Linked DNA regions of Caenorhabditis elegans. The protein of the gene in region 1 purifies or fractionates together with the protein of each later gene. This does not show direct contact. Each region holds a gene or a part of one and is shown in the gene's direction. Other genes may lie near its edges.

What was found.
Region 2: the proteins of cpsf-2 (region 1) and wnk-1 fractionate together in Caenorhabditis elegans (co-fractionation; one large-scale study listed by BioGRID). This does not show direct contact.

Annotation. Positions count from the first base shown.
Region 1 is NC_003283.11:7,177,539-7,183,667, forward strand, and holds cpsf-2 (putative cleavage and polyadenylation specificity factor subunit 2), read left to right. Parts: upstream 1-1,633; 5' UTR 1,634-1,669; coding exon 1,670-1,831; intron 1,832-1,883; coding exon 1,884-1,982; intron 1,983-2,028; coding exon 2,029-2,335; intron 2,336-2,386; coding exon 2,387-2,582; intron 2,583-2,634; coding exon 2,635-3,303; intron 3,304-3,364; coding exon 3,365-4,085; intron 4,086-4,132; coding exon 4,133-4,294; intron 4,295-4,993; coding exon 4,994-5,096; intron 5,097-5,143; coding exon 5,144-5,256; 3' UTR 5,257-5,320; downstream 5,321-6,129. Other genes in the region: lgc-39 (Ligand-Gated ion Channel), read left to right, coding at 1-62, 148-455, 702-836, 897-1,011, 1,061-1,152. UniProt on the Caenorhabditis elegans protein: CPSF plays a key role in pre-mRNA 3'-end formation, recognizing the AAUAAA signal sequence and interacting with poly(A)polymerase and other factors to bring about cleavage and poly(A) addition.
Region 2 is NC_003282.8:9,198,414-9,203,384, forward strand, and holds the start of wnk-1 (Serine/threonine-protein kinase WNK), read left to right. Parts: upstream 1-1,692; 5' UTR 1,693-2,017; coding exon 2,018-2,026; intron 2,027-3,832; coding exon 3,833-3,911; intron 3,912-4,215; coding exon 4,216-4,285; intron 4,286-4,879; coding exon 4,880-4,964; intron 4,965-4,971. UniProt on the Caenorhabditis elegans protein: Serine/threonine-protein kinase component of the WNK3-SPAK/OSR1 kinase cascade, which plays an important role in the regulation of electrolyte homeostasis and regulatory volume increase in response to hyperosmotic stress.

The DNA of each region.
Region 1 (6,129 bases):
AGGATATATTGTTATGAAACGACTTGTACTATTCCACATAATTCAAACATACATTCCCACAGGTAATCTTTGAGATTTTGGAAGCAATTTCCAATTTTCTAGAAGACCAACTAATAAAAATAATTGATTCTTTTCAAAAAAAAACAGGAATGCTCGTCTCCATTTCATGGATGTCATTCTGGTTGGACCCGCGTGCCAGTCCAGCACGTATCTCACTTACAATCACCTCATTACTCACTTTGACGACGATGAGCAACGGAGCAAGACAGGATTTGCCGCAGGTCTCCTATATCAAAGCATTGGATATATGGTTGACATTCTCGCAAGCGTTGATCTTTTTGGTATTGTTGGAATATTCGTTTGTTTCGTATTATATGACAAAAAGGACTACGGATTGTTCACATCGGAATATGTTCTATGAGGAAAGAGTACAGGAATGCAAAAGGGAGGAGAAGGTCAGATATCGGGCTTGTTTAGGCTTCATCTTACATGTAATAGTAGAATAGCTCCTAAAGGATAATCTTGTTGGCCTAGGCTTAGACTTAGATTTAGGCTCAGGCTTTTGGGCTTAGGTCCTATATTTTGCAAAGATTTAAGGTTAAGCTTCAGTTAGGCTTTCAATTAGACTTTGGAATTTTTTTGGCTTAGGTTCAGCTTAACTTTTTTTTTAAAGTTTTTTCCTGACTCCAAAACTATTTCAGGCTCGAAAGTCGATTGTTAATAACAACAAGCCAGTAATTGCGAATAATACCGAGGGATCCGACCTGAATCGGAATAAAAAATCTCAGCAATTTTCTTTGACTCATGGAATATCCGCATGCCTTAATGAATCATCTGTAAGTTTAATTTATTAAAGTCACACGTATTCATGTATCATACATGTACATAATTTATAGGCGCTGATGTCAGTCACTCCGGTTCCTTCTCGATTATTCACCAAATTTGACACCAACAAACCATGTGCTCGATGCTCGGAGAAAAACGAACGAATAGCATTTAAAATTGACGAATGTTGGTTTAAGTATATCTACTTTTGATTTTCAAATTAGTACAATTTCAGATAGTCGATGGTTGTTTCCAACAGTTTTTTCGCTATTTTGTGTTTCCTACTGGCTCTACTTCACTTGGCGATCATCTGCTTCCGAAGGCTGACTGAGAAACTGTGTTATGTGTATCAACAGCAATAATTCCTCAATGTTATGTGTCTTTATGATAGAAGAACAATTGAAATAAATATATTAAATATAACATTTGAAACTATTTTTCTTCTGTGTTCCTACTCATAAGATTTTAATAGTATAATATAGTGTATTTTCATAAACGGTCGAAAAACTGATATTGATAGAAATCCATTAACTTCCAAAAAGGTCGTGTTCTTTTTTTCGAAAAAATAAACCGAAAACATTTTCGGTTTCGTCACGTAAATTTAGTGAGATCCTCGCAGGTATTTTGGAACTTGAACAAAAATGTACTGTGTATAAATTGTCGTCAATTGTGATGCATACACACATCCGTGTTTGCACACTCAGTGGAAAACTCAAAAATATTTTTTTGCGGTCTCCTGCGAAAATTATTTGTTTTATGCTTCAAAAAGCTGTTATTTTATCGCAATTTTTTTTTTTAATTTGAATATTTTCAGAACAGCGGGAAAACCTAAAAGACACATCAAATGACCTCCATTATCAAATTGAAAGTGTTTTCCGGTGCAAAAGACGAAGGACCTCTTTGTTACCTTTTACAAGTGGATGGTGATTATATACTATTGGATTGTGGTTGGGATGAGCGATTCGGGTTACAATATTTTGAAGAATTAAAACCTTTTATTCCCAAAGTAAGCTCATATATATTCAACTTTCTAAATTCTCAACATATAATTTTTCTAGATCAGTGCAGTTCTCATATCTCATCCAGATCCTCTCCATCTTGGCGGACTACCATATTTAGTTTCAAAATGTGGTTTAACAGCTCCTGTCTACGCGACGGTTTGTTTAATTTACATTTTTCTAATTAATTAAAATATCGTTCTAGGTGCCGGTATATAAAATGGGTCAAATGTTCATCTACGATATGGTTTACAGTCATTTGGATGTAGAAGAATTTGAGCATTATACTCTCGATGATGTAGATACAGCTTTCGAAAAAGTCGAGCAAGTGAAATATAATCAGACAGTCGTTTTAAAAGGAGATTCTGGAGTTCATTTCACAGCATTACCTGCCGGGCACATGTTAGGAGGATCCATTTGGAGAATTTGTCGAGTGACTGGAGAAGATATTGTTTATTGTGTTGATTTCAATCATAAAAAAGAACGACATCTTAATGGATGCTCATTTGATAGTATGTTAATTCTTTTAAATATTCAGATAAATTTCATATTTATATTTCCAGATTTCAACCGACCACATTTACTAATTACCGGAGCTCATCACATTTCACTTCCGCAAATGCGACGAAAAGATCGAGACGAGCAGTTGGTGACGAAAATTTTACGAACAGTACGTCAAAAAGGAGATTGTATGATTGTAATCGATACAGCTGGAAGAGTTCTCGAGCTGGCGCATCTTTTAGATCAATTATGGTCCAAGTAAGTTATTCTTTTAATTTGAAATAAAAATTATTAAAAATAAAAATTTCAGCGCTGATGCAGGTCTATCCACGTATAATCTCGTCATGATGTCACATGTAGCATCTTCAGTTGTTCAATTCGCAAAATCTCAATTAGAATGGATGAATGAGAAGCTTTTCAAATATGATTCCAGCTCAGCCCGTTACAATCCTTTCACACTGAAACATGTCACACTCTGTCATTCACATCAGGAATTGATGAGGGTTAGATCTCCGAAAGTTGTGTTGTGCAGTAGTCAGGATATGGAATCAGGATTTTCTAGAGAATTATTCCTCGATTGGTGTTCTGATCCAAGAAACGGTGTGATTTTAACGGCACGTCCAGCTTCATTCACTCTTGCTGCAAAGCTTGTCAATATGGCTGAAAGAGCAAATGATGGTGTTCTGAAACACGAAGATCGATTGATTAGTTTAGTTGTGAAGAAGAGAGTTGCACTGGAAGGAGAAGAACTTTTGGAATATAAACGAAGAAAAGCTGAAAGAGATGCAGAAGAAACTAGACTTCGAATGGAAAGAGCTAGACGACAGGCACAGGCAAATGAGAGTGATGACAGTGATGATGATGATATTGCTGCTCCAATTGTTCCAAGGCATTCGGAAAAAGATTTCCGTTCGTTTGATGGCTCGGAAAATGATGCGCATACTTTTGATATTATGGCGAAATGGGATAATCAACAAAAGTTTGTTTTATAAAAGTTTTATACGTTTGATTTGTCTTTAATTTAATTTTTTAATTTTCAGAGCATCATTCTTCAAGACAACTAAAAAATCATTTCCAATGTTTCCTTATATCGAAGAAAAAGTCAAGTGGGATGATTATGGAGAAGTTATTAAACCAGAAGACTACACTGTGATTTCAAAAATTGATTTACGGAAAGGACAAAATAAAGATGAACCGGTAGTTGTGAAGAAACGAGAAGAAGAAGAAGAAGTTTATAATCCGAACGATCATGTTGAAGAAATGCCGACGAAATGCGTCGAATTTAAGAATCGTGTCGAAGTTTCGTGCCGAATTGAATTTATAGAATATGAGGGAATATCTGATGGTGAATCGACAAAGAAACTTCTTGCTGGACTACTTCCTCGGCAGATTATCGTAGTTCATGGATCACGAGACGATACTCGTGATCTTGTTGCTTATTTTGCCGATAGCGGCTTTGATACAACAATGTTGAAAGCTCCGGAAGCCGGAGCACTTGTAGATGCCTCAGTTGAATCATTCATTTATCAAGTGGCTCTTAGTGATGCTCTTTTAGCTGATATTCAGTTCAAGGAGGTTTCCGAAGGAAATAGTCTTGCGTGGATCGATGCTAGAGTTATGGAAAAAGAAGCCATCGATAATATGCTAGCTGTAGGAACATCTAATCTCATGATCGATGATAAAAATCGAGAGGAAGACGTCAATGATCAAGAAGAAAACGGAGCCACGGAGGGTGAAGGAAATGCCGAACCAATGGAAATTGTAAGCTGAAAATATTTAAAACTATTTCAAAACATTTGGAATTTCAGGGTGAAAACGGTTCACAGGAGTCGCTGGCGATATCTGAAAGTGGAAAAGAGGTTGAAAATGGGCACACAAATGATAGTCGAACGAAAAAGGGAACAAAAGGAAAAATACGTGGAAATCTCATTCTCGATCCTCTACCGAAACGGCTAATTCCTATTCACCAGGTAAATTATAAAAATGATTTAGATTTTGTTTTAAATTAACCATTTTTTTATTTGAAAAAATGTTATTTCCACTATTATTACCACCTTTCAGCGCAATTTTTGAAAAAAAGAAGGTAGAAACATGGCCGTAACGTTCGAATCTAGATCGAACTGTTAGAAAAATTGTACAATTTTTCTGAATTTTTGAAAATGTTTTTTTTTTGTTGCAATATTGCAAAAGTATGTTGCTGCACAATAAAAAAAATTTTAGCTGAAAAAAAATCTGAAAATTTTCCAGAAAACACGAAAATTCCATTTGCGCGGGAATTAAAAAAACATTTTGATTAATTTTTGCAAAATTGAAAAAGTTATTCATGCAAATTTTTTATAGTGATATTCGGATATAACTCCCAATTTTCAATGTATTTTTAAAAACAAAATCTAAGAACCCTCACATGGTCATTTAATGTTTCCGGCGAGAAAATATCAATATTCTCTAAAAATAGTCACATTGTTTCCATCAATTTTCAAAAATGTCACTAATCCGGCCGTTTATTACGCACAAACTTTTCACCACGCAATCATACTAAGTGCTCCATTTGATAACAATAATATTAATTGTTCTGTGCATTTCTCTAGTTTGACGTCAGAGAGAACCTGATCTTTGAAAAATTTTTAAAAATCAAAAAACCATTTTATAGATTCAACTTTTTGTTTCAGGCTGTCTTTGTCAACGATCCGAAACTTTCCGACTTCAAAAACCTTCTCACAGACAAAGGGTACAAGGCAGAATTTCTCAGCGGAACTCTTCTTATCAACGGAGGTAGTCACAACTTGGCACACTGCCAACCGCACAATATTATTTTACAGGAAATTGTTCGATTCGTCGTAATGATACTGGAGTCTTCCAAATGGAAGGTGCTTTCACCAAAGACTACTACAAACTTCGTCGTCTCTTCTATGATCAGTTCGCTGTCTTGTAAAATGATCTCATATACTTTTTCAAATTCCACAAAATTCTCAATAAAAAAATTTTTTTTCCAAGAAGTTTTGACTTCTTTCAGTAGCTAGGTCGCCGCATTCCATTTCAGATAAAACCGCGAGAAATTCGCCTCCAGTTGTATGAATTTGTTGGAAATTCGGGAGAATGTCAAGGAAACCGTGCTCATAAAAAATCGACGAGCACACGCCGACTTTCCCCCTTGTTTTCAGAAATGTAGAGCATGTGATAAACAATTGAAATCAATCACAAACAGACACCATTGTACTATTTTTCATTGTTTTCAGGTGACGTGAACAGGCAAAAATAAGTCGATTATTTATATCATCATGTTTTTTGTAAACATTTGAGGCTCGGCGGAAGTTTTTTTTTTAAATTTTTTTTTGGAAGATCAAAAAGTCGAAGCATTTTTTGTTCGACATTTCAAATGTATACGGATTCTCATGGGAGCTCAATGAGCCGATTCTAATTTTTCTGATAAGAACCATCTAATCGTTTTCGTAGACTGATTACGAGTTCGTGGTAATGTCTAAAAATAGGATTTTGCACCGGAAAAGACACCTTTTTACATACATGAGTTTTGATCTTTTTTCTGTTATTACGGGAAAACACAAATTTCTGAGAATGCGTATTGCACAACATATTAGACGCGCAAGATATCTCACAGCAAAAACTACAGTAACCCTTTAAATGAGTACTGTAGCGCTTGATTTTTGAAATGAATCGATATAATATTAAAATTAAAAAGAGGCAAATTGAATATCGATGTCACTAATCGAAAAGAATAATCTATTTCAAAAATCTAGCCCGTGAATCGACACAAGCGTTACAGTACTCATTTAAAGGGTTACTGTAG
Region 2 (4,971 bases), on another chromosome or scaffold:
CCGAGGGGAAAAAGAAAAGGCGAGAAGAAAAGAAAGAAGAACAAGTAAGTATCATGACAACATTCAAACACTGCCTCATAGTCACACGAGAGTTCGTTTTTCCCTATTAAAAAAACATAATTGTGCTTGTGATTGTTGCAGCAAATGTATCATTCTCCAAAATCACATGATTTTCTCAGTTTTTAGTTAGAATGAATATTCTCCTGGTTCATATAGCTAAAACAGAAATCTCTGCAATTGTTACTGCTAGTTTATACTTTTCATAGTCTTCTCGAAATTTTGTTTCTTTTTGATTGCATTGTATCTGATTGAAAGGTTTTTGAAATTCTTGACATATTTGCAGGTTGAGGTGAATCTTGGTTTTTTCGTTCGGCACGTTTTAAATAGTCATTTTTCAGATATCACAGATAAGCTGAAACTCAAGTGACAAACCTCATTCAGATACAGTAATTCATGTTGACCACACAAATCTGAATATTCACATCTTATTTGTTTCACCAAGATGGTTGTTTGGGGTGTCTGTAAATACTTGAAGTTATGCAACTTTTATCGCATTTTCATGCTTTTTCTAATAGGTTTTAACCTATTTTCAAATGACATTGCCACATTTTAAACTTCGATCCAATCACTTTTCCCTGTCGTCTCCTACACTTTTATCTTCATGTCTTCACAAATTATTGCCAATCAAAACTCGGGTTTTGATGAGTCAAAAGAAACATGTGGGCTAATGGACTGCCACTGTTTGCAGCCACTTGTCTCAAATTGGCTGTAAAGCTTCAGAACCTTCAATTTTCGAATCGTGATGATGTCATCCAAGTTCCATTTTTGGAATGCATTCTAGTTTTTAATGCACCCTTGAAGTGCTAAACTTCAGTCTTTTTCCAGGCTGCGTAATATTATTGAGAAACAAATTTAACCAATATTCCGAGTTCAATTTTTCCGATTTTTCCCGTCTGCACAAACCATTTTGCAAACCTTATCAGTTAGTAATCTACATTTTTCACAAATTTCTCTTACAACTATTCTTCTCGAATTTGTTTCTATGATGTGCCAAAACCTGGAAGTATATTAATATTTCCCATGAATACATAATAGAACATGTCATTTTTATAATCTCTCTCTCTCTGTTACGTCTTGCAAAGTGTGTAGTGTTCCTGCAGAAAAGACATTTATAGATTGATATTGATATCAAGAAATATCATAAAGATAGTATAACATGACAGACGGCTAGATAGACACACATGGACACTGGTCAAGGCCGGTGTGTGCCATTCATCAAGGGTGCATGCTGCCTTTTTTCACCAGTTCATTGTTAAATCCTAGAATTTGAAAGTGCGCTTGTTGCTTAGGTGTTTCAATTTCGCAATTGTGTTTTGATCGATCTATCGTTATTCAGAGTTGCTACACGTTTAGTACGCTACTTTTTATCACTCCCTCGATGATTTAAGCCCTTGCGGGACCATTATCTAATCTACGTGCCTATATGTTTTCTTCAAAGATTGATAGATTTTAGTTAAAATCCTAACTCTTTTTCGGTATTTAATACTTCTAATATATAATTTCATAATTACTTGCTCACCAGCACATTCTAGAAGCTTATTATGAAATCATTATTTTCTTTAATTTTTCAATTATTTCTTCTCAACGCTATTGTTCTCAAAATCTGTTTGCAACCTTTTAAAATAATTTTACCAGTTTTCAGACCGACAACGCACGGGCTCTTCGCTTGATATCCGGACATAGAAATATGCAGATATCATCCAATTTTTAGTTGACACCTATATTTAAAAAGTCTTTGTCAAGCAACAGTATCGATCGCATTCATCAATAACTACAGTAAATATCTATATATCAAAAAAGTCTCCCAAGAAGAAGAAGCAGCGAACTGTTTTCGTTTTGTCAAATCGAGTTCTTGTTTTTGTGGCTGATTTAAATTATACCGGAAAAATTCGATTGGAAAAGAAGGATAATTTGTAAAGAGGAAAATCGGCGGAAATCGTGAAGCGAGGACTACAAAATGCCTGATGTGAGTGTTTTTTTTTAATCTTCAAAATTTATAGTTTTTAATTGAATACAAATTGTATATTTTCATTAATACAAAAAATAGAAAATCAAAATGGGCCCAAAAATTCTACAATCTTCATCAAATTTGTGTTGTCAAACTAATTTTCACTAGGAAACAAAACCATGAATTGTACTTTGAATCTGTGGGCGTTTAAGCGATGAGAAGACTGGTACATTGGTTGATCCTCTTTTAAATCTACTAACAATGAATATTCTCTGTAGTTGAAAGCAGTTATGTCTGCATTTGGGTGGTCAGTCAACCGATTCTTTTTGGGTGCATACATTTGTAGGTTTAGAACTGTGTTTTGATGTTTTTAAATTTTCTAATTAAATAATTTAGCTAAATTATTACTCATAGGAAATTTCATTCGATTCTAATTGTCACTATATTCCTAGTTCCTGTATAAATTGGCATATAATATCGTAAATTATCGGCGATTTTTATCGGTTTTGTCTTCCCGAAAAGAAATAAGGGTAATTCACATTCATCTATGGATTTAGTCGAATCGTTTCTTCATTATAAGGACAAAGTCCATTTGAAATTTAATTTAGTTTTTCCTATTTTTTCTTATATCTTTCTTCTTTCTATTTCCGAATTTTATATCCCTATCAAAGTCAGCAAAATTTTGGCAATTTTCTTTTTATCTCACCGCTAAAATCACTTTGTGAAAATTGATTTTTGTTGATCTTGACTAAAACGAAAATCGAAAACTACAAAATAAGATAACAAAAAATCGTAGAAAGCACGAGTGAGAAATGGGACAAAAGATTACGATTTTTAAACTCGAAATAACTATAAAATCTGCTAAAAATTATTATGTTATTAATTTTGAAAGATGACAGTCATATGTAACAGATGTCGTAATATTTCTTGTAGAATGGTGAGCTGTTTAAATTATATTTCACTCCAATTAAGGACCCTGAAATTTAATTTGCTGAATAATTTATTCTTCAAAATTTAAGAAATTCATAACCTTTTTTCTAAACGAGCGAGATAAATTTGAAAAAATTTCCTATCCCAGTTTACGTATAACCGCTATTTTACTTAAAAATTCATCTGATTTTGCATTTTTAAATAGCCTTTAACAGTATTTGCAATGTTTTTATTACTGTGGGTGGTTGTTTTGTTGTTTTTGTTCCCGCCCTTTCGTCTTTCTCGTCTCATTCGAATTTTGGTGTCTTTTGATCAAAGTGATACTGAATGGAGAAGCACGTGGTAAACAGACGCAGACGACGGTATTAGACACGACGTCTTCTACCTTTTGAAGGCAAACGATGTGTCTATCGTTTGACTTGTTTCAGTCGTGTTGCTTCTACACTTCTCGTAGTAATTTTGAAACAAGAAGTGTCATCACACCTACCATTTTACCGCTAAATTGTAATTTTTTATTGAAATGATTATTGAATTTTCAATCTTAACGTATAAACATTTTTAGACGTTTTTAGTTTTATTGAGTATAGAAGCTTTCAAAATTTCTTTATGGAAATTTATATTTATTTTCCATTCGCCCGAAAACTTTTGTAGATTCGAAAAGTTTATGTATGTAGTAGTTTGAACTCTGTAATTCGAATTTACCAAACATGAAACGTTGGTTTATCTCGAATATCACACAACCCTCTAAGATATCACGTGATTACTGTTCCTTTTTTTTCAATCAAAAAATAGTATAGATGTATTGATTCAAAGTTATCATGTTTAAAAAACTGTATTATGTATTTTCCAACAAAAAAATTGCGTTTCCTGACAGTAACCAATGTTTTTTTGCAGTCTATAACAAACGGTGGACGACCACCAGCACCTCCAAGCTCTGTGAGCTCAACAACAGCATCGACAACTGGTAATTTTGGTTAGTTTTAGTCGAATTAATTATAAAAAAGAAGAAAATCGTCTTATTTGGTGAAGTGAAGTATTCATTCATCGATAAAATTTAAAAACCCTGGAATGTTCAAGTGTTATTGGACACATGAATACGTCAAGAGGATTAAGTTGACGTCGAATTAAAAATTGACGTTTTTTGAAGTGATAGAGAGAAAAGTACGATTTTTTGAAAAATGTTGTAGTTAAAATTGGCAGAAGTGTGATAGAAAAAAGATTATGAATTTAAAAGTTTATTTAATTTTTTAAAAGTTAATTCAATTTTTAAATTTCAGGTACTCGACGTCGTTTAGTGAATCGTATCAAGAAAGTCGATGAACTACATCCAGCACAAGAGAATCCCACGTTAGTTTTTGATCTCTTTTGAAAGTTTCTGATGGTCGTGGAAAATTTGAAACTCTTGTTAAAACTTTATTCTTGATAGTGCAAACGTATGCATAATTTTGTAAAAAAAAAGATTTTGGCCGAATCATTATACAAAACTAACCTGAATATATTTCTATTCTCACCCATTCATAACAATTTTAACTGGTCATGTGAGCATTATCGGTAACTTTTTTCATCTTTTTTAGGACGAAAAGAGACGAATGGACAGTCTAACTGTATCTATCTCTCTCTCAATATCATAGATTTATGATGAGGAGGAAATTTCAGTTTATGATTTGATTTGAAATTCAAATTTTATTTTTTCCCTCTCCCTTCCCCATTGACATTTTCTACTATCCACCTCTGCCAACCACGCATTCCTATTAAAACCGCCAACTGCTTCTAGAAATTTTGACTGAAAAACAGTCTACATTGCCGTTTTTGCAAATTTTAAATGGAATTTCCGATTTCCAATGATTTATTATTAGCTAGCAGACAATTACAGACTAGAAATGAACGAAAAAGGTGAAAAATGATTTTCTGGCTTTCTTTTTAAACTGTAGACTATTTCAGAATGGGATCACACTGGTTGTCCGAGCAAGAAAGATCACGACTTGAAGCTGTTCAACAGGATTGGCGAAGAACTCGACCAATGAAAGTGAGTT